2 linked regions of the Coturnix japonica genome follow. The protein of the gene in region 1 binds, or shares a complex with, the protein of each later gene. Links are inferred from orthologs where the notes say so. Each region holds a gene or a part of one and is shown on either strand. Other genes may lie near its edges.

What was found.
Region 2: the proteins of CCT5 (region 1) and DCAF12 are in contact, whole or in part, in a cryo-EM structure (PDB 8AJM), measured with the Homo sapiens proteins. The link is inferred for Coturnix japonica from reciprocal best matches to the Homo sapiens genes CCT5 and DCAF12. Residues at the interface, in NP_036205.1 of Homo sapiens: Gly537, Glu538, Ser539, Glu540, Glu541; in NP_056212.1 of Homo sapiens: Lys91, Phe93, Lys108, His144, Trp186, Phe188, Arg203, Lys254, Arg256, Glu298, Val300, Arg344, Phe411, Tyr422, Leu440, Pro441, Ser442, Gly443.

The regions. Positions count from the first base shown.
Region 1 is NC_029517.1:52,182,721-52,196,723, reverse strand, and holds CCT5 (T-complex protein 1 subunit epsilon), read right to left. Parts: upstream 11,204-14,003; 5' UTR 11,136-11,203; coding exon 11,031-11,135; intron 10,795-11,030; coding exon 10,734-10,794; intron 10,620-10,733; coding exon 10,455-10,619; intron 9,749-10,454; coding exon 9,550-9,748; intron 8,652-9,549; coding exon 8,459-8,651; intron 8,025-8,458; coding exon 7,875-8,024; intron 7,494-7,874; coding exon 7,374-7,493; intron 6,989-7,373; coding exon 6,803-6,988; intron 5,071-6,802; coding exon 4,933-5,070; intron 4,728-4,932; coding exon 4,547-4,727; intron 3,920-4,546; coding exon 3,792-3,919; 3' UTR 3,636-3,791; downstream 1-3,635. Other genes in the region: ATPSCKMT (ATP synthase subunit C lysine N-methyltransferase), read left to right, coding at 12,127-12,157, 12,421-12,695. UniProt on the Homo sapiens protein: Component of the chaperonin-containing T-complex (TRiC), a molecular chaperone complex that assists the folding of actin, tubulin and other proteins upon ATP hydrolysis.
Region 2 is NC_029547.1:6,947,786-6,963,205, forward strand, and holds the start of DCAF12 (DDB1- and CUL4-associated factor 12), read right to left. Parts: upstream 8,049-15,420; 5' UTR 7,864-8,048; coding exon 7,783-7,863; intron 7,284-7,782; exon of another isoform or gene 7,229-7,283; coding exon of another isoform or gene 7,178-7,228; intron 6,845-7,177; coding exon 6,590-6,844; intron 1-6,589. UniProt on the Homo sapiens protein: Substrate-recognition component of a DCX (DDB1-CUL4-X-box) E3 ubiquitin-protein ligase complex of the DesCEND (destruction via C-end degrons) pathway, which recognizes a C-degron located at the extreme C terminus of target proteins, leading to their ubiquitination and degradation.

The sequences.
Region 1 (14,003 bases):
TGAGGTTCGAGTTCACCTCTAAGAAAGATCAACCAGTCCAACCATCAGCCCATTCCCACTGTACCCACTAACCCACATCCCTCAGTACCACATCCACCTTGGTTCCTGAGCACCTGCAGGGATGGTGACTCCACCATCTCCATGAGCAGCCTGTTTGTTCTATTTCTTGTCTCCTCCTTAGTTTCTCCCTTTGGGCCCCTCAATTGCCCACCTCAGAAAAAGAGCATACAAATGTCTGACAGGTAAAAGTTGGGTCAAGGACTGAGGGTGACAGCAGGGCAGGTGGGGACAGCTCATAGGCAAGGGGGACAAGCAGGAAAACCAAGGCCTCTAGTGTCAATGGCCAGGGTCAGCCAAGAGCCCAGATCACCAGGCAAGCTCATCACAGCAGGGCAAGAGCAAGTCACTAAGTCAAAGCAGCACTGGGGTCAAGGCACAGACAGATAAAAGGTAACTTAGGTGAGGAGGAAGGGACAGGGCCTGAGCTTAAATACATCTACTGAGGGAAAGGGAGAGGCATCTCCCACTCCATGATTTTGATAGCAGTCTAATTGCAGATGACACAGCCGTGCCACCCACACAAGTATCTGAACTCCTGGGAGGGGAGGCAAGGAGAGTGCTGTCAGAGTCCTGGCTGTGGTGTTCCGTACTAAGGGAGCAGTCAGATGCCAGGTGACTGCCAGGGACCTGATCCTTTCAGTGCTTGTGCTGCTGCTGTTCAGTACTGAACACCAGGAACCTCACTGTAGCACAGAAACTGATCCTAAATAGCCTGGGGAGAAATACCATAAAGATGCAGATTCTAGCACATGTACAACAGGTTCAGTGACTTGCAGAGAACATGCTAAAGCGTTACCCTCCCATCATCTGAGTTTAGCAGACTGTCTCTGTTGTATCACAGCGAGGACTTGTTTACAAAGCAAACGCTGTCAGTCCATTTAATTGGCTCTTTAACATGGTGAGAAATGTTCCCTGGCAGAGAGCTTCTGGGAAGCCCTCCAAGATGTGAAATGGAGAGGTACTTCTACGCAGAGAGGACAAACGGGGCTAGTTCCTCCCTACTGAATCATCCCTCATGGGATGATGGTATGAGTTCAGGAGCTGTAACAGCCACAGCCCACATAATAGCAATTTTTAATGCTGTTTGGCATGGTTACGATGGAAGATGGAAGTTCTCCCAGCTCGTTCTCTACGGTAAAATGGCTCAGGGTAGGTTGTTCTCTGTCCATCTGAACTGTGGAAGGGACTTGCTGCTGCCGATGCAACAAGTGGCAAGTATCTTCCTCCTGGAAAAACCCACCCAGACCCAACACCGCTGAGAAACCACTGCGCACCCAAAGCCAGGATCCCAGCCCTGCACAAACTGCACCCAGCAGCTGCTGGCTGCCATAAGCTGGGTGTGACCAAAGGGATGGGGAGGAATCTGCACGCTGTTCTCTAGGAACCTCCCCCAAGCACCCGCAAAGATGAGCATCGTGTCAGTGCAGAGACAGGAGAGGGAAGGAGGAAAGGAACTAGGCCCAGGAACACAGCAAGAGAGGCTTAGAATTGGGTCTGAGTTCTGATGCCAAATGGCTTTTCCATGAGTTTAGCTGCACAGTGAATCGTCAGGGTGCGGGTTCTAAGATGACATCAAACACTGGATTTAAGAGGGAATATTTATGCAATCAGTTCAAGGTACCAAGCTTCTGAAAAGATTCAGATTGCGATGGTGATAAATGTGCGCAATGCTGATGGTGCTGAAGAAAGCTGCCTGGCTTCAGCTTACCGTTCAGTCCAGCTGCAGTCCCCTTCTGGCACTAATATTCTTACATTGCCCTCCAGTGGCAAGCCCTGCATTTTGCCAGGTTGATTGAAGAATTTGAAGGCCAGTGAAACACTCCATTTCAGTATCAGTGTTCACCTCTCACAGTTCAGATTCAGCCCCAAATCGTAACAGTGGTTTTGCGGTTAAACAAAACAGAAGGCACAATTATTCCAGTCTTGAAAGCATACAACCTTGAACTGCACTGGCTTCAATAATATGGTTTAATGCTCTTCAGTTGCACATCGCTGTCCTCCAATTACCTATGCAAAACCTAAACATCAACTAAACGTACGCATTAAATAACTCAGGTGATAATGCTACATCTTATTTTGAAAACCATTAGTAAAAGCCTCAGGAAAAACCCTCATTTTCAGAGTTTTGCCAGTGTTCCACTACCAGTCTTCTAATATTCCACATGAAAGTCTCATTTGAGATTAGATAATATTTACATACATACATAGACTTTCATTTCCTTAAGGCAGATGAATGAGCAAAGGGATCACCTTTTCCCTGTTCCAGAGGCTTCTGGACTGCAGTAGAACTCCCCCACCCCAAAAGCAAACCTCCAAATCTGATCAAGTTTCAACTTTCACACCCCCAGAGCCTCCCAGCCTGCTGGGCTGCAAGTCTTCCTGGAATTGGGAATAACCTGGTCTACGTTACTGCCTGCAAGCTGCAAGTTACTGTGAACCAATGCAACATACATAGAGCAGAGCACCGTCACAGCCTTCTCCATTCCAGTGGCAGTGCTGCTGCACAGAGCCCTCTGTTCTTCACATCTATCAAGGAGCCAGAATGTTCAATTACAAATTGAGCTGGGTGTCCAACTTTGCTCTTCCTCCTGGACATCCTACGTTTAAAACTAACCATGTCTTCTAAACCATGCTGAAAAACAAACATGTAACTGAAACAGCTAATAGGTGAAGCTTTTATTGTGTTAATATGCCAAAGAAACTACCCAGATAAGCTGTTCAAAGATTCTGCAAGGATCAAGTGAGATTATCGTCTTCCTAAACCCTTCCAGCATGGCACTGTAATGCCCTGTGGCATGTTATTTCATATATAGTATAGAGCTGTTCATTTAGCTCATATTTCATAATGCGGTGTTCATTCATGCCACAGTTCAAATGGCTCTAACACTGAATAAACCCAAGGCTGTCAAGATCTGGGAATGCTTCGCGGCTGTTTGCTGAATGCCTCAAGCCTGTTCACTGGAACAGGCTGCCCAGGGAGGTGGTGGAGTCTCCTTCTCTGGAGATATTCAAGACCCACCTGGACGCCTACCTGTGTGACATGGTGTAGGGAGCCTGCTTTGGCAGCGGGGTTGGACTCGATGATTTCTAGAGGTCCCTTCCAACCCCTACAATTCTGTGATTCTGTTTAAGCAGCTTCTATTCAGCATCACAAGTCAAAGATTTGTGCAACTTTCAAGCAACTTGAAACATGTTGTATGGTACCTTAAATCTCCAAATGTAAACTACACAATCAACGTGTTCAGCATGTAAGAATTCTTGGGGGCTACAACTATTTTCAGTTTCATGCACTAAAGAGTGACACACTTAAAATGGAAAACTGTGGGCTTTGCTCACAAGCAGTTAAAAGAAATTAGCTGCAGGAACAATGGATGTGTGAGATACTATTAATGCACAGAATCACAAGGTTGGAAAGGACCTACAAGACCATCTAGTCCAACCATTCTCCTATCCCCATTACTATGAAACCATTAGCATTATCCATTACTCTCCCCCCGCTACACATTCAGAATGTTTTTCCTAAGACTATTTACAACTGTCCATGACAAGACACAATGACAATTCTGAAACGAGGCTTGAAACCATCGGTGCTAAATTGCATTTTATTTCCAACCATTAGCCATTACAGTATCTGAAACAGTGTCCAAAATAAATAGCTGAAGATGAAGCATCAGAATACTACCGTCTTCGCTACTGTTGTGGCCCCGTTAACTTTCCATGTTTTTCAACCTTTAGTCTTCAGATTCTCCAGGCCTACGGATATCATCGATCTTCAGAATCATTCTAACGACCTGAGTTGCCAGAGAAATCTGTTGTTTCTTACCAATCAAGGTTTCTATAACATGTTGCTGTTTCATATCTGTTAAAAAAGAAGATACGAAAGCATTAGAGACCTTCCTCAAACCCAAATGTACTATTTACCTGAGACAGTTATTTTCTACGTTAATTTTGAACGTAATAGAATTATTTCTATTCACAATCATCATTAATTAGTATAAACTATAGCTTTTAGCCTGGGCTCTTAACAAAGATCTCAGAACCTTAACACCAAACTCTCTTCTCACAACTAAGTCTTCCTCAGTTGTTACTTCACCTTCCTGCATTTCTGTGTACAGATATCAGAAGCATCCTAAGAGTAGAGCATTCAGCTCAAAGTTGAAGATCCATGATACAGAAATATCAATGAACTGTTATGTATTTATGTAAGCACAACACCTGATGTTTCAAGATTTCTTTTTTTCATTCATTTCAAATAAATGGCAGAATAAGAATTTGAATCCAGCAGTTACAGATCTTCTTCCTGTTGTACATCATTTATCTCTCTACCCCCACTCCAATTTACAAGGTAAGGTAAAAGACTTTGTAATTCTGACAGACATATTGAAAAATAAAAAGAAAAATAAGACTGCTGATAAAATGAAAGCTTTCAGATTTCTAAGGAAGGAAACCCTGTTATGTTCCCTATTCTTCACGGTATACTTCTTACCATTTGTTCCTTTCTGCAAACAGTCGATGCCAAGAGCAGGATTGTTTTCCTTCACTTGCCTAGCCCGTACTTCAGTCATTGTCTGAATTGGATTCATTCCACTGTTCTCCGAAAGGGCCATAGGGATTACCTCCAGGGCATCTGCAAACGCCCTCATAGCATACTGTTCCAAAGATGGGCACTAGGAAGTAAAAAGTGATACAGCTTTTATTTCTGCAGTGAGCAAAAGTGCACTTTTGCACTAAAATACTCATGCAGTTTTCTTGGCAATATTCACCCTAGTAACTGACAGAGTATTCTGCCTAACTGCCTGCAAATAAAAACCATTTTATATTGCTCTTATCCAAAAAGGACCTGCAATACCTCTACAAAGGCTCCTTCCCTACCTTATCTGCTGCTTCACTGACTGCCAAGGCACATGAAATTTCAGCTGCACCACCACCGTACACAATGCGGTTATCGCGAACCAGATTCCGGATCACACACAGAGCATCGTGAAGAGACCGCTTTGCTTCTTCAATAATCTGAAACGATACAATAGCACATACTTCATACTGCACACAACTGGAGAATATGGAGATGCATTTCCTAATGCGAGAAAATAAAAGAATGCAAGTAAATGATTGACCTTCCATTACTTGAAGTGTACATATAAACAGGAGGAGGAATGGCTGTTAACAGGGATGGACAGTGATAGGACAAAGGGGAATGGTCTTAAACTGAGACAGGGGAGGTTTAGTTTAGATATTAGGAGGAAGTTTTTCCACACAGAGGGTGCTGACACACTGGAACAGGTTGCTCAAGGAGGTTGTGGATGCCCCATCCCTGGAGGCATTCAAGGCCAGGCTGGATGTGGCTCTGGGCAGCCTGGTCTGGTGGTTGGTGACCCTGCACATAGCAGGGGGTTGAAACTGGATGATCTTTGTGGTCCTTTTCAACCCAGGCCATTCTGTGATTCTATGACAGGATCTCTTTATAGCTCTACTAATGCTACATTATACTATTTCAAAAAGTGAAATGCTACAATACCTAGTGGCAGAGAAGGAATGCAAAATATACACATTTCAGTGCTATTTGTTGTACCTATAAATTCAAACTATGAAAACTTACACCACTTTTTTCAGTCTTATACACGTTTCCAAGACAAAAGCCACAAATTTAAACACCAACATTTTTTTCTCCTTGCATTTAGTGTCAACTATCCAGAGTGCAATAGATGTTAAAGGATTTAACAAGTTAATATTAGCCTTTAAAGAAGCATTGTTTTCTTTAAAAACCTCTTCCAGCAGTTTATTTCTTCCCAACTTTTTGACTCAAAACAGGACATAACCTATAATAATATACAATATAAATCATTTCACACTAACAATTCAGCCATGAACCAAATTAAGCAGAGAAGCATAAAAAATAGGCACAACTCAGACCATTTTAAAACGTTTTGAACCAGAACAAGTGACATAAGTATATATTAAAATATAGTCTTGCAAAAATACATATTCACCCATGAAAGTGACTCTCCCATAAAGGAAATGAGAGACCAAAAATTATTTCTCTGTCTATTAACTATACGGTCCAATAAGAAAACAAAATTTTCACCCAAAAACATGGATGTGACTCAACAAGTGACTTGAACACAAACACCGTTGCCTACAAAACCCCTAAATTACTCCACACTGCAGATAAAGCTTAGATAAAATTAATGGAAGAGTTAATAGGCTTCTAAAATGAAAGAGACTACATATTCAACAATGTACGTATAAAACATTACTAACTACGAGCTGTGACTTTATCCAGCAGGGCACCCAACTATCAAGTTCTTCAGTGTGCAAACGGCTACGTTTAGTAAGGAAAGAAAGAAGGGGAAACAATAAAAAGCAATAACAAAAAGAGTAAACAGAACTAGTTCACAAAGTAACTGCTCCCTACACACTGACCAAAGCCCAGCCAGTCCCTGATCCTCCCCAGCTTTCAGTTCCACACGATGCCATTCAGTATACGACATCCCTTTAGACAGTTTGGGTCAGCTGTCCTGGTTCTGTCACTTCCCAACTCCTTGTGCTGCTTCAGCCCCTCGCTGGCAGGGCAGTGTGAAAAGCAGGGAAGTCCTTGGTTCTGTTCAGAACCACCCAGCAACAAGGAGAACATTGGTGTGTTATACAAATTATTTCCCAACATCCAAAAACTATCACCATACCAGCTACTAGGAGGAAAATTCACCATCCCAGCCAAAACCAGGACAGAAAACAAAGGTCTTACCATTTTATTTCCTCCTCTGATGAAAATGGTCACAGCTCTGGAATTCTGGCACTGTTCAATGACAAGCATTCTGTCCTTTGTTGTGCCAAAGGAGATCTCTCTGACAACACCAGCAAAACCCAGTTTCTCAGGTGTGAGTTCACAGAAACGAGGAACGATGCGTCCTCCGGTTGCAATGGCGATTAACTAGAATTAAGAAACTCCATTATTTTGAGAAGACTTTTCTATAATTATTTTAATAAAGTAAAGCTATAGTCAAATATCTCCAACAAAGTTACCTTCCCATCAGGCAATGCCTTGATTCTAAAACAAGACACAAAGTAAAATCGCTCCTACCCGCATACAACCTGTAAGGAGCAATACGCATGGACTGCAATACACACCACAATCCCATTAACTCCAGCTTCTTTCCACAGACAGATCCCCAGTGATTTTGCTTCAGTACGTGCCAATACTACATAATAATAATGTAATTCTACTCAGAAAGCACAAACTTTTAATTTGTGCAGCAGATCACTCAACAAAGATTTGAGATCTGGTAAAAATCCCAGTTTGGGAAGATTGTACTTACTTCTATTTCGGGTCCACCAACCCAACGAACAGCAGGCAGCTCATTCTGAAGCAGCAAGTGATTTGCTTCATCATCAAAGCCCCACTGGCAAATAGCAAGGTTTGCACCAGTGTCTTTAATCTGAAAGCAGCACGCAGTGATAACCATCAGCACTAACACAGAAACGAGGAATTTCACAAACACATTCCTTTGTTGTTTTAGTTCTACTCTTTTCAAAGCAGAAGTCTGCAGAAGACAAGTATATCTGTACATGAAGGCATAGAAAGAAATGAAAGCAAATTTCAATGCACTGCCCAGGGAGGTGGTGGAGTCACCGACCATGGGAGTGTTCAAGAAACATTTGGATGTTGTGTTGAGGAATATGATTTAGCTGGGAAGTATTGGTAATGGTTGGACTAGATGATCTTCTAGGTCTTTTCCAACCTTGATAATTCTGTGATTCTGTTTAGTGTAAAGGCTATGTAAAAAATACAAATAGAAACATAATTCTGAAGACTCTACCTGCTTCACCATCTCTTCAAACTTCTCTTTTTCATATTTCTGCAGTGCCTTGTAATCGTCTACAGATGTGACATCAAGCTTATGCTTGGTTTTAGGCTTCGGTGGTTCGAACGGGCAAGTCAGGATTGCAATTTTGGCATCTTTAAGTTCCTGTACAATAATAAAAAGTTGCAGTTTGATGACAGTCACACCTCCTATTTGTATTTGCACAATGCACAAATGTTATCTTTAAATAAGTAGGGGCTGTAGGATCCTTGATGATCATTTAAGTGATTCTAAAGTGAAGCCGGTTATACTCAGTTTCATCTGAAGTTTCACATAAGAGAAATTCCATAGCTTCAGGACACAAATGTTTAAGCACCCATCAGCCTTCAGTCATTTATTTTAAATATTAGATGTTTAAAAAGAAGAAAGCTTCCTATCCACAGTGGACATTACAAATACAACCCACTCGCTTTCACTGACACTTCTGAATGTGTATGATACTCTCCTCTAACCTTCCTTTTCACAGTGTAACCTATATACTACTTGTTAAATGTTATTTAAACTGTTACAGATGAGATGCAGAGAGGGGATTCACTCACCTTAGGCATCTGGGGATGACTGAAATCTTTATCCACGATCACTCCCTTTACCAGCTGCGTATCTTCCAGTCTGCCTCCCACTTTGCCTTGTACTTTGATCAGCTCAAAATCAACATCTTTACGCTCCATATCAGCTACTGTCAGTACAGCATTCACAGCAATTTCTGCCATTTGTCTGTGACAACGGTTGACTCTAAATTTAAAGAAAATACAGTTGTATTATATTTGCACATTCAGAAGAAACAGGTTCTATCAATTTTGAACAGAGAAAGGATATGTATTACTATAGCAAATGTGTTTTGTTTGCTGCATGAAGAAAAGGCATCCAGCTCATTGATGCACAGGAATATGAACATGCTAACTATGACAGAAAAAAAATATCAGTTTGTCTATGTATCCTTTGTGAACATAGTCTCAAGGCATCAATATGAAACAAGCGGGGAGAACTGATACTGCACTTCATAAAATCTACTGTCCAGGAGTAATTAAAAATGGCAGACAGCTCCCTCTGTATTTTGCTGTCTTCTCAAGTCTTTCCTATACTTTTACATACAGATCCCACAATGGTATCTTAAAAATTTAGTCCCTAAAGAGTCACAGACAACTGAGAAATGAGACTGCGTAGAAAGAATATTGTATAAAACAAAAGCATCTCCATCCTTAACATCTGTATATATATAAATCTATAGAACCAGTAATGAAAACTGCAATTGTGAATCCAGAACTGTCCTATGAGTCTGTTCAGAAAAAAAAAAAACCCACAAAAAAACCCTTTCTAAAAATAACTGAATGTTAGAACTCAAAGTTTCTAAGTGCCAAGATACAGTAATACAAAACAGAATGGGTAGAATGAAAATGATTTTGTAGCTGTTTGATTTCACAAAACTGCCCCTTTGAGAATAAGGGCTTCACAATTTCTTATCCTGAAATATGAATTTTTTGAGAAATAAGCCAGTCAAATATAATAAAGCCTTCAGCAGCTTCTCCAATAACAAAAAACAATGTAATCATCCATCAAAACACTTCTTTTTTTCAACCAAAGAGTACTCATGGAAAATATACACACTTTCATTAAGCTTTTATAAACTTACACTTTAGAGCCAAGCGTGGTCTTTGCTGTTTGGATCAGAGGTTCAATGTTCTGTGGATCAACTGGAAAGCTGTCGCTGATTTTGTCTAGATGCTCAACAGCAATGCGGGCTGCCTGCTCATAACCATCAGCTATTCTGATAGGGTGAATACCACGATCTAGCAATTGTTCAGCCTGTTCCAATAATGCTCCAGCCAGAACTGTAAAGAATTCACAAACAAACACACATTTACTCTTGCAGAGATGGGGGCATGATATCTCATACACCATCAAGAGTTTAATAAGTATGCCTTCAGATTTTTCTATTGTATTTTAACTGTTTGAGATTTATCAGGCAATAAGAATGGTACCATCAACCCCATATTCACTAAGAAAACTGCATTATTTAGACCAGAGAAACACAGAAGCCAATAGCGATCACTATGGTAAAAAGTAACAAAAATAAGTTTAGTCAAATGCTTTCAATGCTAACTTCAAACACAACCACAGTAAAAAATTACAAAAACATATTTCTAATTAAAATGCTACAAATAAGAAACGAAAAATACCAAAGCAGTAAATACACTATGGGAAAACTACTTTTCCTCTTAAAATACATTTGAAAGTATGCTTTTATAACTGGAAAGCCCACATTAAGGGAAGATTTAGGTTGGCTATCAGGGGGGAAGTTCTCTACTATGAGAGTAGTGAGGTGCTGGCACAGGCTGCCCAGAGTCACTGTGGATGCCCCATCCCTGGAGGTTTTCAAGGCCAGGTTGGATGGGGCCCTGGGCAGCCTGGTCTTGAATGAGATTTGTAAGCTGGCAGACCTGCCCGCTGCATGGGGGCTGGAGCTTCATGACCCTTAAGGTCCCTTCCAACCCAAGCCATTCTGCGGTTCTTTGATTAAGCACAATCTGCTCTTACCCACGACTCCAGTGGTTCCATCCCCAATCTCATCATCCTGAGATTTGGCCAGTTCCACCATAAGTTTGGCTATCTGGTGATCCACATCCATCATGTTCAGGATGGTGGCTCCATCATTTGTCACTGTCACCTCACCATCTTTGTCCACCATCATCTTATCCAAGCCTGACAAAAAAAAAAATAAAATAAAATAAAAAATCAAGAAAGTGAGTGAAAAAGCTAAAAACCCACAGAAAACAAGGTGCAGGAAAAAAAAGAGTACAGTAATTTCATTGTTACCGTTGGGCCCAAGGGATGTTCTCAGAGTACTCGCCACAGCCTTTGCTGCCAGGATGTGAGACTGCAAAACAACGGAGATAAAAGGTAAATCGCACTCCTGAACTATAGCACTAATGTAACTTACAGGCTGTAAGCTCACTAGGGAGAGCAGCGTGTGGCTGTAGACCAAGCAAGCAATCGGCCATACACGGCCTAGCGGCCCCCCCCCCCTAACGGCGGCATGGCAGCATGGCCCAGCAAGGCCCCCCCTCTACAGGCAGATCCTGTGCCCGTCCTCCCGCTCGCTCACTCGCTCACCTTGAGAGCCTCGAGTCCCATAAGGCGCGTCTTGCGCTCCTGGTCCTTGAGGATGAGGAAGGGCCGCCCATACTCATCAAACGCCAGCGTCCCCATGGCCGACATGGCTGCAGCAGCACCCACCCCGAGCACTAAACGGATCCCGCCGCGCCCGCCGCGCCGTGATGTCAGCGCGCTCCCAGCGCATGCGCAGAGAACTAGGAGGAGTAATATGGCGTGTGGGTCACAGCGTTCTGGAAGCGTCTGAGGCTGTGGGAGCGGAGCCCTGTCCACCAGCGCGGGGGGGGGGGAGGCGGAAAGGGGATATCCTTTAACACAGTACGGGAGCTAAGCGGCCTGCACCGCAGTGGACTGAAGCGAAGGAGTGAGAGCAGACACAGCGCGGATTCACAAAGGTGCTTTCTCTCTTCTCGCCGCTTTCTGGAGCGTAGTCAGAAGGGTGGCCCTGCGCTCTCTCCCCCCCGCCATGTTGGGATGGTATCGTCCTCTTGCATAAGTACTGCTGCAGGGGGGGGGGGGGGTGCCCTGATCAGTGTAGCGTAGGGGGGTCCTAGGGGCTTCTTGGGGGTTCCTTCTCTGGAGATATTTAAGACCCGCCTGGACGCCTACCTATGTGACGTGGTGTAGGGAACCTGCTTTGGCAGGGGGGTTGGACTTGATGATCTCTAGAGGTCCCTTCCAACCCCTACAGTTCTGTGATTCTGGCTTTTCAGGCTTTAGTCGGCTGTGTAGTCCAGACCCCTGCTAAAGCAGACCCTCTTCCGTGGATCGCCTGGTAGAGCATCTCAGGCTGGTATTGACTACCTCCAGAGAAGGAGGCTCTGCAGTCTCCTTATGCTTAAGCACCACCCGCTTCCCTCTCTTCACAGAAAGATAAACTAGCACCTCAGTTGATTGAAAAAAAACCAATTTGTTGCCTAGGAATCAACTAAAAGAAGAGTGAGGGGAGTAAACTCTTCATAAGGGCTGACAATGGGGGACATGGTTTGAAATGGTTTGAAGTTAAAAGAGGGAAGATTTAGGTTGGATGTTAGGGGGAAGTTCTTCACTAGGAGGGTGGTTAGGCCCTGGAACAGGCTGCCCAGGGAGGTTGTGGATGCCCCGTCCTTGGAGGTGTTCAAGACCAGGTTGGACGGGGCCCTGGGCAACCTGATCTAGTAAATGTGTATGTTTGGTGGCCCTGCCAGGCAGGGGGGTTGGAACTACATGATCCTTGAGGTCCCTTCCAACCCGGGTCATTCTGTGATTCTGTGAAAAGTTAAAAGATGTATTGTGCCCCTAGTGTCTCGCATCTAATGTCTCATATCTTTTTGGTTCAATGATATGTTGCTTTTTCTGTTCTTCAGGAAGCAGTCAGTAAATCTTGCTATGTTGTTATGTCTGCCTTCAGGTGTGATGCCCAGTGCCCCAATGGTACAAAGCCCCTTGCCAGCAGGCTCTGAGGATGGTTCCAGAAGAAGGCGCTGGGGGCTGTGGATGGTGGGTGGTGTTGGTGGGACCTTGGTGGCACTGTATGCGGTTGTCACCCCCTTTGTGGCTCCAGCTCTGAGGAGAGTGTGTCTGCCATTTGTTCCTGCAACTTCAGCTCAGATCGAGAATGTCCTGAAGATGTTACAAGGCAGAAGAGGCACGGTAGTTGACATCGGTAGCGGGGATGGCCGTATTGTAAGTCACAGACATCTTCCTTCTCTATTCCTTCTCAAATATGTGGTAAATACTCCAGCTGCTACCTGTTTTCTCCTATTTTATGAGTATTTTCTCCCTGGCATCCGCTGTTTTTGAGTCCCATGCAGAGCTGCAAACCCAAGAATGGTTTACGTTCGGGTTGGGCAAGCAATCAATAGTTCTGTTCCCTTCTTACCCTCAGCTTGACAAAGCGGCGTTTAGAATTATAACCTTATCTTGTTCCTTGGAAAGAATTACGCTATTCACATAAAAAGATATAATTAAAGTATTGGCAATGTGTTTCCCTAGGAGTTGTATTCTGTGTCGGTTTATAGCTGTAGTACAAGAGGCTGCGAGCTTAAACAGCCCTCCCCTTTTGGAACTGCAGCTATGTCCTTACTGTATAAAAGTGATAGCACAACAAAAGAGAATGAGAAATGAATGGCGGGTTGGAAAAAATAAATGTCATGGTGTCATTAAAGCTATAGGCTTCACATCTTTGTGTAGTGCTGGCTGCCCCTTTTCAAAGTGGTGAAAAAAGAGAACAGATAGTTCTTGAATGCTGCCTTTGTCAGTGTTTCATGTGAACGGTTCAACTATTTGTCCGTACTGAAAAGTTTGATTTGGAAGTCAGAATCCGTGAAAGATTTGGGCCTGTGTGACAAACGGAGAAAAGAACATTGGTATGGAGGACTGCAATTCCTGATGTCCTTTCTAGTCAGTGTTCTGGCTCTTAACCCTCATCTGACACACATAATTTGAGCATGTATCTGTGTATGTATAAAGTACCTGAGCATCTGAGGCATCTGATTTGTGTGTGTATGTATATATATATATTAAAATGTGTGTGTACACACATCACTGGAAACTACTTGGAAGGCCAGGTGCCTAAAACTAGATGCTGGGTGTTGGCTTAGTGCTTAGTATGTTGAAGAAAGTTGAGCTGCTGTTCCTATGGTCTTAGGTATATCAAATGCCACATCAAAATGTGTGTTACACTGTCTTCATGGTCAGTTTTAGTGCTCTTTAAATCAAAGGTGGTATCATAAATATGTTAAGTTTAACTTTGGTGTAAATTGTAGACATAGTACGAGCTCACAGCTTCATCCTGTGCCTGTTTAAGTGATTTAGTTTGTTTGTATCAATATCAGTTTCAATGGGATTTGTCACAATAGTAAAATATGGTTTGAATTTTTGTTTGCTATACTACTAATCTCTTAGGAAATAAAATCTCATTACTTACTGAAGTGCATTCCTTTGATTTGCATTATAACTAAGTCTCCTTTCTCTTATTTATCGAGGTGAATG
Region 2 (15,420 bases), on another chromosome or scaffold:
ACATTACTCATTCTGTAGAAAACGCTTCCATCTACATATGACTGTTTGTGCACTGTATGTAGACTTGCACCAACTTCAACCCACAACTCACTCTCCTTTGCAGACAGCAGTCTTGCACAGAGATCACAGCTCCTACAGATGCTGAATTTTCACCTTCAGTTCTTTATTTTGATGCAGATGCAGAGGGTGAGGGAACAGCTGAAGAGCAGATGAGCAGGAAGAGGAAGAGAACAGCACTTCTATCTCCCCCAAGTGCAGTTGTGTGCCCAAACCAACTGATGAACACTCAACATATGCAGCAGCCCTAACTTCATCCCTGAAAATTAGTTGCCCTGTTCCTGCAGTGCAGGCATTAATTTCTTCTCCTCTCATCTTCTTTCTTCCTTCAATATTTTCTTTCAACTGAAGATCTCAGTGCTTTCCCATGCCCTCCTTCAACAGTTCCTGGTGTCATCAGCAGGTCCTAAAGCTGCTACCAGAACTGCTCATTAGGAAAACACATCTGCATTTCAGGATGCCCATAGATTCAGAAAAAAATCATCTTCCAGCAGTTACAGATGCACAGTTCAAATGGCACCTCAATAGATAAGCAGACTGAAATTAAAATCTTCTATGTTCTTCAGCCTCACACCACTGTCACGCTGTGCCTGACACTAAGTTAATAAAAAACAAAAATACTTACCCTAATGTGAAATTACTTTAATAACGCTAAACTCCAAACTAATCAAAAAGTCAAAGAAATTGGAAACATACAATACTGAAGTATCATAGAGCCTCACACTCAAGTCAAGGGACAGGCTTTGAAAGTTCAGCTGTATGGTTTGAAGCAGCAACTACTGCACATAGTAAAAAACAGAACATAATGCAGACAGACTAAAACCACAATCCAGGAATAGAATAAACAAATGCTACCTGCTTAAATTATGACTTTTGCATCATCTGGGACACCGCAGGAAGACAGAAGCTCACACTTGCAAACAGAGCCATAGAATGCCAAGAAATCTTCCCTGTAAATACAGCGCACAGAAGCCAAACAGCTGTTCTTAGCATTTTTACCTTTTGGGCTTTATACCAGCCTAAGATAGGCATCCAGCTAAGAATGCTGACAATTGCATACTATTTTATGAGTTTTCAAGACACTACAGTAAATAAAGCGTAAAATACCTGACAGCTTATAAAAAAGTTTCAGCTACAACTCCAGCATGTAGTAAAATAAAAGGACCATGGCAGACTGATACAGCTATATAATACACTTGTCTCAGACACAAGTTTTTACGATCTGGTTATGATTTTCACACTCAATGAAATTACTAATTGTGTCCTTTTTATTACTATTATTTCAATTTGTATTGCAGAATAGCTAGAAATTCTTCTAGCAATTAGCTTCTATACATTTTCTAAGAGGCTGCCCCTTGTCCTACTTTTTACAGTGTTTCACTTCATTAATGACAGAACTTAATTGATCAACAAGCCAAAAGCCAATTCCCTCTAATGGGGAATCACATATCAGAAGACCTCATTCTAAACTGCAAAATCCATTCTCTGGGTGTCACTTTGTCAGAAGTCTGCTTTCATTTTTTGACTTGCCTTTAAGGGACAACAGTTTAGGAGGACAAGGGAAAGAAAAGACACACATTTCAGATACACACTGAAAGGATTTGACAGAGAAATACAGCAAGTAATATTTCAGCCTATGCCATTTTAATGCTACATCTGATCTAACCATTACTTCAAGAAGCATTCTGGTCATATTTATTTTAGTGAGAACACTGAAACCTTGAAAATTCTCATCTTCGTATGCAGAGCAAGATAAAAAAAAATCTGACCAAAGAAATGCAATTTTCATGGTATCATGTGAAGAATATGCTGCATCTTCAGCTGCTAGATTTGTGCACAGAATAGCATCCAGTTTAATCAGCTGAAAATTAAGGTTGCCTGTTCAAACCAATTTGAACAAACCAAAGCTTGTAACCCACAGCTACATTATGCTGTTATTTCAGAAACAGGACAGACCCAGATTCACAGGATACAAAGAACACGCATGAAAGAGACTACTTATTCCTCACAGAAAAAGTACACACGATACACACTGTGCTTCAGCTATTTACAGGCTGCTCTGAAATCACAGAGCATAATGCACTTTTATCATTCGTAAAAATATTTGAAAAAACTCCAGATAAACACACTGCCTCGCTAAAAAGAATTATTAAAAGAATAATCTGGGATAGAATTTCACAACTGGCTTAAGCCAACCTTTGGGAATCCACATGTACCTTCTTCACATACTCACCCTGTCTCACCACCTCTGCAACAACAACTGGTGTTCAGGTAGCTGCCAGGTCACTCAGACCTCTCTGCCTTTGGTAGAAACTAATCTTTGTCTCAATACAAAGCAGCAAGCTGACCCAGCTGACTCCTCAGCCATGTGAACATCAGTGCCAGCAGGAATGAGCAGGTGGGAACATCCTGTTCTGCGAGGCATGGCTAGCAACCAGCTGAACCTGATCACAACAATTTCACTCTCAGCCAAGCTGAAAAATGACATCATCATCTCTGAATTTTATTTCACTAACAAAACAACAGAAACAAGACAATGCTTAGAGTGGATACACTAACACCACTGCTGGTTACTCTGACAAGCACACAGTTCCCCACCCCATTTCTCAGTATTGTTTTCTGTTTGGACTGTAAGCATTTCTGTTCTTTAAGATCACAAAATGCTTCACATAAAGCTTTTCATTCCTATGGCAATACAGATTCACTAATGTATCATGCCAGGCCTTCAAGAAACATCAAACCTCCAAAGACTAAGAACTCAAACTGGTAGAATTCCTTTCCAGCTGAGCTCAGAACATGCACTAATCTTAACATGGAACATACTTACAGGTTGTGCAGTACAATCAGCACCACGGGGTAATGATCTTACACAAGTTCCTCAAAAGGATCCAGAGTGAGAAAAAACAATCATGAGGAGTTAACTGCAGTAAAAAAAAAAAAGTCAGCAAGTTTACACTGAATTCCTATTTCCAGAGGCAGAGCAGTGCAAGCAAGCACTCCACCTGGATACGAAACTCTTAAGCCCTCACAGTTCCTGGGCATGCACTTTGATGCCACTAAATATGTTCAGTGCCAAAGTCACATTTGTCGGTTTTTATTTGCGTCTTGCCCTCCGTGTTTAATTTCAGGAGGCTGGCAGACAGTTAGTGCACGCTGACAGATGGCAGAGGATGGGGAAGCGAGAGACTTCACTTGCTACAGGGCATCTCTGCCACCCACACCATACCTGGCAAAGAAGCTAACAAATTCTGGAAACAGACATGGGCATCACACGCAGAGAGAAAACCTAACACTCCCTAGAGATGAGAAACAGCATCTCACTGTGCCCTCACAAAACACTGAAACAAAGGTGAATTAAGGTGCTATTTACTGGTGTCGGAGGTCTATTTACAGTGAGCAAAGTACAGTGCTCAAGCAGAGTTATAAACTGTGAGAACATGACTTCTTCCCTCCTGGGAGCAAGAAACAAGCAGTCTATTTGATTCCTGACAGCATGGCCAAAACCAGGGGATACATTCACTTGCAAAGCAAGTAGAAAGCGTTTCCTCCTAGACCCTCCATATTCACAGATATAAGAACCATGAATTGAGTAGTTCAGGACTACAGACACCAGGACTAGAAGACTACAATTATATGAGGTGCGCTGAACAAACAAAAAATCCTTAAGCAGAAACAAGAGCTGGTCATTTACACTAGGGCACCCAAATCAGTGTGTGAATCTACCAAGGAGAAAAAGTGTCACTGAACTGGAAACCATTTGAACCACAGAAAAGCCACCTGAGAAATCAGATGAGAGCAAACAAGGAATTTGGGTAGTTCAGGTTTTTGTTTAAGTAGCTTTCCGTATTTAGGGAATGAATTTAAAGCTCTAGTGTTTTTACACACTTCATAATTAGCAAAAGAATTATGATACATAGAGCTAAGGATCAGAAGACACAAGAAAATGCTTAATTTCAGGAAATGGTAATGGATAGTATAAAGGGAAGAAACAGTTCAGTAACTCAGCATTTAGAGCTCTCTTCTGTCACAAGCTTGTTTCCTCCACCATCTCTTCAGTTTCTGAAAAGCCTGAGCACAACACACTAATTACAGACAGAATCTTCTGAGACTTCCTGGTACCAGCCTTTGGTAATTGAGATGCCACAATGACACACTATAAACACCTGCATGTCTCAGAGGTTTGTCTGTTTCCTCATTTGTTTTTCAACAACTTTAAGAAGCCCATTTTATACAAGACCAAGAAGATCCTCGCAAACACGAATCCCACTTCAGAAAGTCCCAGGTGATTGCATCTGACTTTGACATTTGAATGCTTGGATAGCTTCCATAATAAAGTATCTGGGAAAGAAAGTATGCACCTTTCATAAACCAAAACACTTAATTTGACATGCAATTGACTGACCATATACAAGCATTCAAGGATTCAATGGAAGTCAGTAAAGTTTTTTTACACACACAAACACTTCAGTGATAATCCTAAGTATAAGAAGTTACCTGAAATAATAAAACTAGTTATAATTTCTATTAAAAAAGAACAACTGTGAGCTCTACAGTCTCTTCAGCACTTAGACTGACCAGTACTGTCAAATGATTAAAAGTAAAGCCTGTCTTATGACAAGAGCGTGTTTTTGTTTTGTTATTAAATTGGTGAATGCCTCTGGCACCGCATAGCCAAAGGTAATTTATAAATTAACTGCAAAAAGGCTCCCAGTGTCATATTCAAGCTTTGATTCAAGTAACTGGTTTGGTTTAATTTTTTTTGTTGCATTAGCTTTAATTACAAGCCATGCCAGTGTAACAAACCCCACTGAAGTTAAAGAAGTCGTTACAAATTTACTCCCAAGTTCAGTGCATGAGAATAACCAAAAGAACTCATCTTTATAATGTTGCTTACTCAGGAGATGAGAAAGAAAATCTTATAATTAAAGTGTTGTTTAACACTCTAGTTGCTAAAATGTGAGCACAAAGCAACCAGACTAAGTATTCATAATTCATATATAATCTTCCATAATGACAAAGCTGACTTCTGTCATCAGGACAATGTCCATCAGTACTCCAAGTTCAGCTGTGGAAGCATATACCTCATTGCAGCATATGCAGTAGGAACAACAGTAAGGCTGAATCCCTCTTCAGTTCTCTGATTGTTTGCTCACAAACCATTTTCTGCAAGCTTGCATTAACAATGCATTTGTCCATTTATCTTTGCTGCAGAGGCAATAGAACTACAGAAGTTACAGAACACAGCAAAACTGTTGCAGACGATAAAACCTGCAATGATCTTGCTAGAATAAGCAAGATTTTGAGGCTGGAGTTTTAGCAGGAAGGGCTAAAACTCTGTTCCATGAAGGGCTGGCAGCTGATCAGCTGAGGCAGTGAGCACGCATGGAGAAAGAAAGCAAAAAGATTCTGCTCCAGGATTATTCCTATTACAACACTGTTTTGTTTATACAGCTAGGCCTTGATTCTTAAGAGCTACTGCATAGAAGTCTCCTCCTGTGCAACTATGAATAATTACAGAAAATTTGAAATGAAAAAAATATCACTGTCCTTTGCAAGTCAGACCACAGTGCGCAACTTCTACAAGTAATTAAAGCAAAGAAACGATCACAACAGTTCATAATCTTCCATATACTTGGAAGATTACAAACTGTTTATACATTCCTTACAAAATTTGATTTGTTTCAGTAGCACTAAACAACCTGAAAAGAACAAATTCTGGATTTTACACTAACTCAATCAGGGCTTCCCATTAGCTGTTAAGGTCAGGCCACTAACTAATCCCAGGTGAAGATATTAGTTAATATGTACGATCGCCTCCATTTATTAAATAAGTAATATCCCATTTTAACATTCCCGTATAATGTTTAAAACCCAAATCATCACTTTAAGAGCCTGAGGAGTTTTCAGTGTTTGCTAAAGTACATGGAAGTACATGAACATACACAAACTAAAGAGATTTAGATTGGAAAAAAATCATAAAGTAAACAAACAAAGGATAATCTTGAATACGTGAAATTCTTTTTTAAATCTTAGAACATTTACTCTGAAGAATACCGAGAGTTTAACAGGAGCTTTTAGTTCTGTAGTAATTTCTCAGTCATCAACAGAACAACACAAAAAAAAAACCCAAAACACGCTGAAGATGACAAAAAAACAGAGTCTTACCAGCATATTCTGCTAGACATCACATTATTTAGAAATCAGAGGTACAATCATTAACCAATCCTTCCTCCCCCCATCATCTTCAGCACAACAAGAAAGAGTCAACCACACTGTTCCATTCTGCAGAGCCTGTGTACAGGTACAGGTCTCAGTCTGGTTCACATCCACATGCACAGAGCCATGTTTTCAGATGAAAATGGGCCACAGTCAAACCTTACACATATTCGTGTTTTATTAGATACAATTTTGACTCTGGTTCTAGTTACTTCCTAATATTCTCCTTGATAGCCTACATAAGATTACAAAAGGCACCAGCATGAGGAAAGGGAATTACAGAACAGAGGAAAGAAGCAAGAGAAGAGGTACTTACTGTGTTGCATTTTGTCCCACAAACTACTTGCCGGTGGTTCAACCACTGGGAGGCAAACACTTTATTGAGGGTTCCAAGATGAAACTCCCTCTCCTTCAGGAGGCTGGGAAGCTGCTGGGCTGCATGTCCGTGCAACAGGCGGTGGTAGCTGGACTCATTCTGCATCCAGATCTCCCTCCCTTTTAGGTAATACACCAGGGACTGCTTCACTGGGGGAAGCCGCTTCCTTTTGTGCACTGAATGATCCCATCCATACTGTGGAAAACAAACATGGAAATAATATAGAAAACCAAAAAAAAAACCAAACCAGCAGTCTTCCAATTCAGATCGCTTAAGTCTTCTAAACTATCCATAAGAAATCATACAAGATCAACACAGAAGTGCTAGTACAGCCTTTACATCGCAGAATTAAACACATTTTGCTAAATAAGTGGTATCGCAGTGGTGCCACAGACAGTTTAGCACTGCTGAAGTGATAAAGGAGACACAAGAAACCTGAAAAATAAGCATTTTAAGCAGCTGAGAGCAGCCCCAGACTCCACCCCAGCGAAGTACAACCACACGGGGCGGGGGCCGCTCGGTACCGACCGCGGCATCCACAGCTCTCTTGCGGCCGACACCGGGCTCCATCCGCTGCATGGCCAAGGAGCCCTGCCCGGGACGCGGCCGTTACGGGCAAAACAACGGCTGAACCCAGCGGGACAGCGGGGATTCGAAGGGAACCTGACAGCAGCGGGAGGGCGACGCCCCCCGGCCCGTTACCGCCAGCTGCCCTCAATCACCCCCTATCAATCAGCGGCACACCGACATCCCCGAGCCCCACTTCCCCTCTTTAACCCGGGCTCCACAACGGCCGCTCACACCGACCCCCGCCCGCAGCCGGTGCCGGACTCACCGCGCTCAGTCACACCGGCCCCCGGGCCTACCTGCTCCCCATAGAGCCCCCCTGCTCCCCACAGAGCCCCCGGGCCTACCTGTTCCCCACAGAGCCCCCCGGGCCTACCTGCCCCCATAGAGCCCCCCTGCTCCCCAGAGCCCCCCCTGCTCCCCATACACCCCCCGGGCCTACCTGCTCCCCATAGAGCCCCCCGGCTCCCCACAGAGCCCCCGGGCCTACCTGTTCCCCACAGAGCCCCCCGGGCCTACCTGCCCCCATAGAGCCCCCCGGCTCCCCATACACCCCCCAGGCCTACCTGCTCCCCATAGAGCCCCCCGGGCCCCGCGGCGGACGCCGACGCCGCTTTCCGCTTCCTGCTAACTGTTTTCCTGGCCATAGTAGAAAGAAAGTGAAGAAGTGAAGCCGAGAGCCCGGTTCGGACCCCACATGGAGCAGACGGAGCAGGCAGCCGCCACGACACGTAGCATGAAGCGCCGGCAGCCGAGCCCGGCCGCTCACTCCGCCGCAGGCCCCTCCGGACCGCCCTTCACGACATTTCCCCGTTTTACGGCAGTCGCAGCTTTACGGCAGCTCCGCGTCCCAGCGCACGGACGGCAGCGGGCGCCGCCTCCACTGCGGTTGCCAGGCAACGCGCTGCGGGCCGGGCAGCGCCCCCTGGTGGCGGCAGGGAGTGGTGCAGGCTGCGCCGCCCCAGCCCGGCTTCCACAACGACTGTCCTGATGGACGCTCATGATATTTCCTCAATTTCTGCCCCATCGCTCTTCATTGAACACTTTGTAACGCAGCCTGTGTTAAAACATCCACTGCGCTCATGCCCTCTGTGCACGCTTGTATTTTCACTGTAATTCAGAGCAAAAAAGCAATGTGCTGCATGTACAGGTTACCCCAAGGGACACACAGCTGTACAGGTGGGAATGCTGACACAGGCACCTCCAGGCTGCTGCGAGTGGCTTAATGCACAGGGACAGTAATGCTGCTGAGAACATTAAAAAAAAAGGGGTTTTAAAAAAAAAAAAAAAGGGGGTTGTGAAGTGAATGGTCTGTCTAAAGGGGCACCTCCAGAGATCTGTTACAGACTGGCTCGTTATTTCTTTATCTCGTTATTTCTTTATCTCTGAGCCGTGTGGAGCAGGGTCACCCTTGCACTGACGGGCGCCGCACACCAACACCCGCCCCGCCATGACGTCACCGCGGGGCCTGCAGGTGACGCTGCGTCGTGACGTCATCACGTCCCCGGGGCGGCGAGGCGGAGGGCAGGTACGCAAGATGGCGGCGCCCGGCGGCCGGGCCGGAGAGGGCGGCTTGTTGCGGCTGGCGTAGGGCCGGGCGGTGGGCAGGGGCTGCGGGGACAGTTACCAGCCAGGGGCCGGCAGGTAACGAGCGGGCCTGGCGGGGGGGGAGGTGAAGGAGGGGGGCAGCGGAGGCGTTTCACCAAGCTAGGCCGGCAGGCTCCGGTTCCCTTCCTCGTGCTGAGGGGCTGAGGGTGCGGCCCCTCCCCGGGCTCCCCGCCCGTTCTCGCTGTCCCGCCGTGATTCAGCAGCGGGGCCCGCTCGCTCCGTGACCGCGATGCAGGCGGAGGGCGGCTCCCGGCGCTGCGGGGTCAGGCCTGGTCCTGCCTCCGCTCCGTGCTGCCCCGTAGTTCCGGTGTCTGCCCGGTGCTGCCCCGCGGTGAAACTGCGCCCTCAGAGCTGCTGGGATTCGGGTACGGGGTGAGTGCCCACCAAAGAGCTTCCTTACTGCAGTAACCACATCTTATGTGGAAATCGGCATCTTCTGGTTTGGATGGGCTAAGAGCTGCGTGTGGATCTTGTCGAGCTGTCCTTCGGGTCAGTCTGTTTATTTGTGGTGCCTACGTTGTGAGATGAGTAGCGCTCAGTCATCCGTTTGATGTTAAATAACTGCTGTATTCCCTCTAGTCCTTGCAGGCTGACAAGCTGAAGTCTTGTTTACTGTATGGGTGGTAGCCTTCCGTATCTCACTTCATGCTCATTACCTATTTCTGGATCATTTCCAGTTAGCTGTTCCTCTTCTAAGTTGAAAAGAGGGCCACATCTTCTGCATTTGAGATGCAGACGTACTGTGGATGTACGCCATAGGGTAAGAATACTTCACCTCTGTAGTCCTTAACTTCCTGATAATGCCTTGTGTGCTGTTAGCTCACAGTCACTCAGAGAAAAATGGTTAATTCTGTGATTAAGATATTTACTGTAACTTGAGGGTTGTCTTTCTGATTTTTCATAGAGCAAAGTCTCTGATTTTAAAAGGCGAGTTAGGAGTGTTTCCTTGTAAGTAATAGAAATGACAATAGTTGGAAGTGAGTAATTGCTTGGTAAAGAGTTTTTGTTCTCCATATCACTTTAGTTGCTAGACAAGACCAAGAAAAAAAAAAACACACAGAAAAATATTGCCTCATATGCAGTGATAAGCAGGTGGACTCTGGCACTTTGCTTGACGACAGATGTAGCTGTTGTTTGAGTTTTGATAAAAATACAGTTGTGTCAGATGTGGATATTCATAGATGACAAGCATTGCCAAATTACGGACATCTCTTTCTTCGGACTTCAGCCTCTGTGTGACTGATAGAAGGCATCGGCATCTCAAAACTTGTTACTGGGTGAATGGGTTTTTGTGGGAGTTTGTTGGGAAGGAATCTGCTCCAATTTGTGGTCAAGATTGGGAAAGAAACTGAGGTGGTTCTGCAGTTAGCTACCTGCCTCATCTGCCTTGCCTGGTCGTGTCTGGAGTGTGGAACTTCACTAGTGCAGGCACTCCCATAACTACTTACTTCCTTACAACTGGTCTTGACTTCTCCGAGTTGCAGCAGTATTTTATTTTTTGATGTATTTTTTTTTCTCTGTTCAGAACAGAGCTATGCACATAGCTCTGTGCCATCTGAGGAAGATATGTGTGGTAGTGGGCTGATGTGTGCCAGGCCATGTGTTATGTTATATTGTAAGGGGAGTGTTTGTTTCCTGCAGTATGGCAGTGCTGGTGTTGCTGGATGACTTCAGATTTTTTTCAATAAACACTGACTTGTAATTTGTAAGTGCCAGAGATGCTTTGGAGCACCACTGCAAATGAGTGACTTAAGCCTTTTAGACAAGATATTGATCCTAAGAATAGGGGAAGAGAAAATATAATCTTTAAACTTCATTGTTACTAACTCATGGATTTGGTCTCAGAAGCAAAACTGAAAGTGATTGCACATTTTTCTTCTCATTGCTGGATCCGGCCTGCTTTATTTTTTTTTTCTCTCCTGCTCATGCAGTATGGAGCACAGGAATCAGGGCTGAAGTCACTTCTTCTAGGAAAAGAGATTTAACACAAGGAAAATGGAAACTAAAAGTTACCTGGAACATCATGCAGAAAGCGAGGAAGTATTAAATGTTAGATATATGAATGGATGATAAGTAAATGTTATTTCCTCTTTAATAAGCTTATATTTTCAGATTATTTTAATATGTTGACCTGTTGTTCAGCTGTGAGATTTATTAATTTCTTTGTTAGTTGGTGGCTAGCTAATATCTCAACAATCAAATTATCAAAGACATGTGAAGAGCTCCACCTCCATTGTTCTAACAGTATCTTGCAGTGCTCAGCACTTGTTATTTGAAAGACAAAAATGTTTAGTTCGGAGACAACAAGCCAGGTTTCTGGAGCAGCCTGGCAGGCTGTCACATCTAACATTGTCATTGACAGCCCGAGCTGTTTTGCTGGTGCTGGTGGCAAAAGAACTGTAATGCCACAGTAGGCACCATCTTACTTGTTTTTAATTCCATTAGCGTGTGGCTTCATATTGCTTACACAAACTTTAGTGACTTCAGGGCATTAAGCACTCCTAACACTACTCAGTCTCCATGTCATAAGCTTTTTGTCATCAGCTTGTTCTGTATTTCACAGTTGGTAATAGCATGAATATTTTGATAAACTGTTATGAGAGAAGTTCTGCTTTCTAACAGGAACTGCTATCCACCTTCCCTTGTATTTTGTTCCTATTGTAATTTCTTGCAGTCTTCTCTGTAAGTTGTGGACCTGAAATTATTAAATCCTTACTTAAAGGCTGTTCACACAAAGGCATTACTGTCTATTTAAAATGATAACTGTAATTCGAATCAGTGACAGTGTAAAAATGGTCTCGTGGAGCCATAACTGAAAAAAAGCTCTGGAAGATGTTTTTGAAAACAGTTTTTTTCAGAGGAAAGGGTAGGAGGGGTTGTTTACAAGTTAGAAATAGCTTCCTGGTTTTAAAAAGTAGGTCTTCTAGGGTGTATCTGAGGGTGATTTATTTTCTTTGTATTCTCTGCTTGTTCTGGTAACAAGGAAGGCAATACTAATGATCTAATAGCATGTACCACTCTACAGTCAATCTCTGCCCTCGGGGGGAGAGAAGGCCTTGTGAGAGATCTTGACAAATCAGAGCTGGACAATCTCCTATAGCATGAAGCTATAGATTGGCTGCCACAGTGTAAGAAGAACTCTTAACTGATAGAGATCGCTGAAAGAAAGGCTCCAAAGGAGGGAAGGGTCTGGAGGACAAGGTATGTGCTGGGCCAGGGCAGAGGAGCTGGGGGGAGCCTCATGGCGGCTGCAGCTCCTCATAGGGAGCGGAGGGCAGCGCTGAGCTCTGCTCTGTGTGACAGGGAACGGCATGGAGCTGTGCCAGGGGAGGTTCGGGAAAGGCTCTGCCTTAGAGGGCGTGGAATGGGCTGCACAGGGCAGCGAGCACGGCCAGAGCTCGGGGAGTGTTTTGTCAGTGCTTTCAGATACAGCATTTGAATTTGGGTCCTGCATGGTGCCGGGAGTTGGTGTCAGAAATTCATGTGGTTGCAATCAATTTAGGCATGCTCTGTCTGTGATTCTGTGCTTTGGATTGCTGTTGATCAATGCAGGCATAAGCTCGCTGTTTTACTATTAGCTACCTAGGTGGGTAATCCGTTCTGGTATGCCAGTGCTCTGCTTTATGCTTTGACCCTGACTTGGTTCAAATAATCTCATGTTCTGTGCCCCTAGTGACCTTTTGCAGTCAGTGTAGTCTTGTTTGAGGCCTTCTAGAATGATCTAAGCAGTGTTTTTTGTTTTGTTTTCTTTTCTCTCTCTTAAATGGCAAGTAACTCTAGATTTTTGCTTACATGGCAAAGGATTTTATAAGTGCAGGAAAGTACTCTGTGAGAGCTTAGGGAGAGAACAGCTTGCATGTCAGAACAAGCAATTTTCTGTTCCAAAGACTACAAGCTCTTTTCAGAAGTTTGTGCCATCCTTGTTTAAAACCTAGAATACAAAGGGGTAACAGAGTAACTGACTTAAGTTTAAACCTGTAGAAGGGAAAGTTGATTCAAAATATCATATTGTATCAGTTGTATTACGTCTTCTAAACAGGCGGAGTCCGAATGGGAATTCATAGTCTGTGATCTCTCAGTTACATTTTGACTGGAACACTTGGATCAGAGCAACTCTTTAAGTGGGCAAAGCGCAGCGTGAGTCCTGTGCATGAAGTAGTCAATTCTTCAGCTGGAAGAGGGTCCCTGTATGAACATACTTAAACTGCTCAGGTAGTCAGTTGTGTGGAAAGTACTAATGAACTAGAATTCTATTAGTTGTGATCTCTCCATTTAGATTATGTTGCTGGAGGTGAGTATTCACCGTAGCTATGTACTAGATCCTGTCTTAGGTCGTTTTCTAATTTATGTGTTTGTGCTGTTTGGCATCTGTGGGGTCACAGCAGATGAAGATGTGAGATTTGTTCCCTCTGCTTTGGATGTTGGATTTGTAAGTGTCTTATCCTCATGCTGTGACAAGTGTTAGTGCTGTGCTTAATTGAGACACGGAGCCTGTGTGTTCAGTTTGATTTTTCTTCATCAACTTGACTCCAAACACAAATTAGATTCATAGTTTACAAACACTCTGTGAAGTAGTTGTCAAAGGATGTGTATTTCCTTTTCCAATGCAGCAGAGCTATCCACCTTATTCCACCCTAATGACTAACACTATCATGTGGCATCTTTGTACAGTAATGTATAATAATTTGAAATAGAGATATATCCTTGTAATCGGGAAAGGAATTTCTACTTTTCTTTCTGAGCTCCTTATATACCAAGATTAGCTATTAATCAAGCTGTAGTTCTGTCAGTGGTCACTGGCTGGCAGGACTTTGTACTTGCAATGAATTTACATCCAACCGTGTAACTGTTAGAAGTGTCACCTTCCAGAGGGATAACTGAAAGAAAATGTTTGGGTAAGAGAATTATTTTATCAAGCTTGAATCAGTCAGTGTTCTTGTTGCCATCTTTGATCCGTATCATTGTCAGACTTTGGAGCGAGAGGAGATGCATTTCAGAGCTCTTACAAACAATAGAGTCTCATATGATGTTAAAGTGACTGTCTCAGATGGTTCAGAAGTGCTGAGAGATGGCGGTGTGCAGAACGATATTGCTTCAAGCCAGTGAACTATCTGTGAAAGAACTAGATCTAGCTGGTGTCTTGACAGAGGGTGGGTTTTAAATTCTGTAAAAACTGGCTTCCTTCTTGTTTGCAGAATTGAGTTTAATGCATTAGATTTCTGTAACTTACCCAGAGTTCTTTGGCTATCTGCTAAAACACCTGTAAGCGCACGTAGCGTATTTCTGGACATTTGCCTGAGCATGTTGATGTGACTTCTTTGCAAAGCAAGTGTAAATAGAGACAGTAGAGAGCTTGTTGCTTGAAGGTAACGCTGTTTGGTTTGGCTTTATTTGCAAAGGGAAAGCTACCAAATTCAAGTGCAGATGGAAATGTGAAACTGTGTGTTCAATGATCTTTTCAAATTGAAGATGTTCAACTGGAAGTGCCTTAGTATTTACAGCTTACAAGAACCCGCAAGTATGTTGTGTGATATAAAGTAAACAAGGACTAAGGTAAAGGAGCTGACTTTGTGAGCAGCTAGGTGATCTAAGCTGTTTTTGGAGCCAAGGATGAAATGCGTGTTCAGTGGGCAGAATGGTTGTACTACAGCTGTTTGTGTGACACAGTGTCATCCTTTTAATGTCTGAATGCATGCATTATGCTACAGAAATAAATTTGGAAGGTCTGCCACTCTTCTGGGGTGTTTTGTTTGTGCTTAAGTATTAGGCTGATGAAGAAATCCTGGTTCTCTTGCTCTTCGCTCTCCAGGAAATGGATGTTTGAAATATGCAAGTGTTCAGTGCAGGGATTTGGCAGTATTCTGTATAAGTTACTTCCACCCAGCAATATGAAGAAGGCTTTCTCTTCCAAGCTGAGAGAGAAGTTGTGTGTGTATCTTATTACAAACCTGCTCTGTAAATTGATATTACTGCAGTAATGTGAAAGTGGTGCTTCTCTTATTAGGCAGCACTGGACTGATTCTCAGGTGTTGTTTTATCGTATCAATTGAGGAATGGTCAACTCATATAGACTTTCCACTTCACTTTTTTTTTAAAGTAATGGTGACTCAATGAGATCTGCATATTGTTATCAGTCTCATATTGCTGTTTATCTGTTACTGTTAGTCATTTGAAGAGGAAAAGCTGTGGACAGTACTGTTAGATGGTCATTGGCAATCTCATCCAGCAATTTACTCCATCTAGCTATATAAAAATAAGGCTGGATTGCTGCATCTGAGTCAGATCTGTCAAAGTGTCCTGAGGAAATGAAGCTAATGCATCTCTGAAGGCTTCTTTTGAATTTAAAATGAGCCATTTCCATTCAGTTATTCATTTCTTTAAGTGTTCTGAGGGGTTGCATTCATTAGCAATGCTGCTGAAATGCTTATTATGTCAAACGTCTTCTACCACCCAGCCGGACTGGAGATGGTGTAAAACAAAATTGCAAACTTAAATGAGTTTGAAGTAACCAAAGCTTAATTTCAAAGTTACTGAGCCCTGTTTCATGTTATCAGTCCAGAAGAACATCCTTTATGTTTTTTTTAATAGTAAGATGG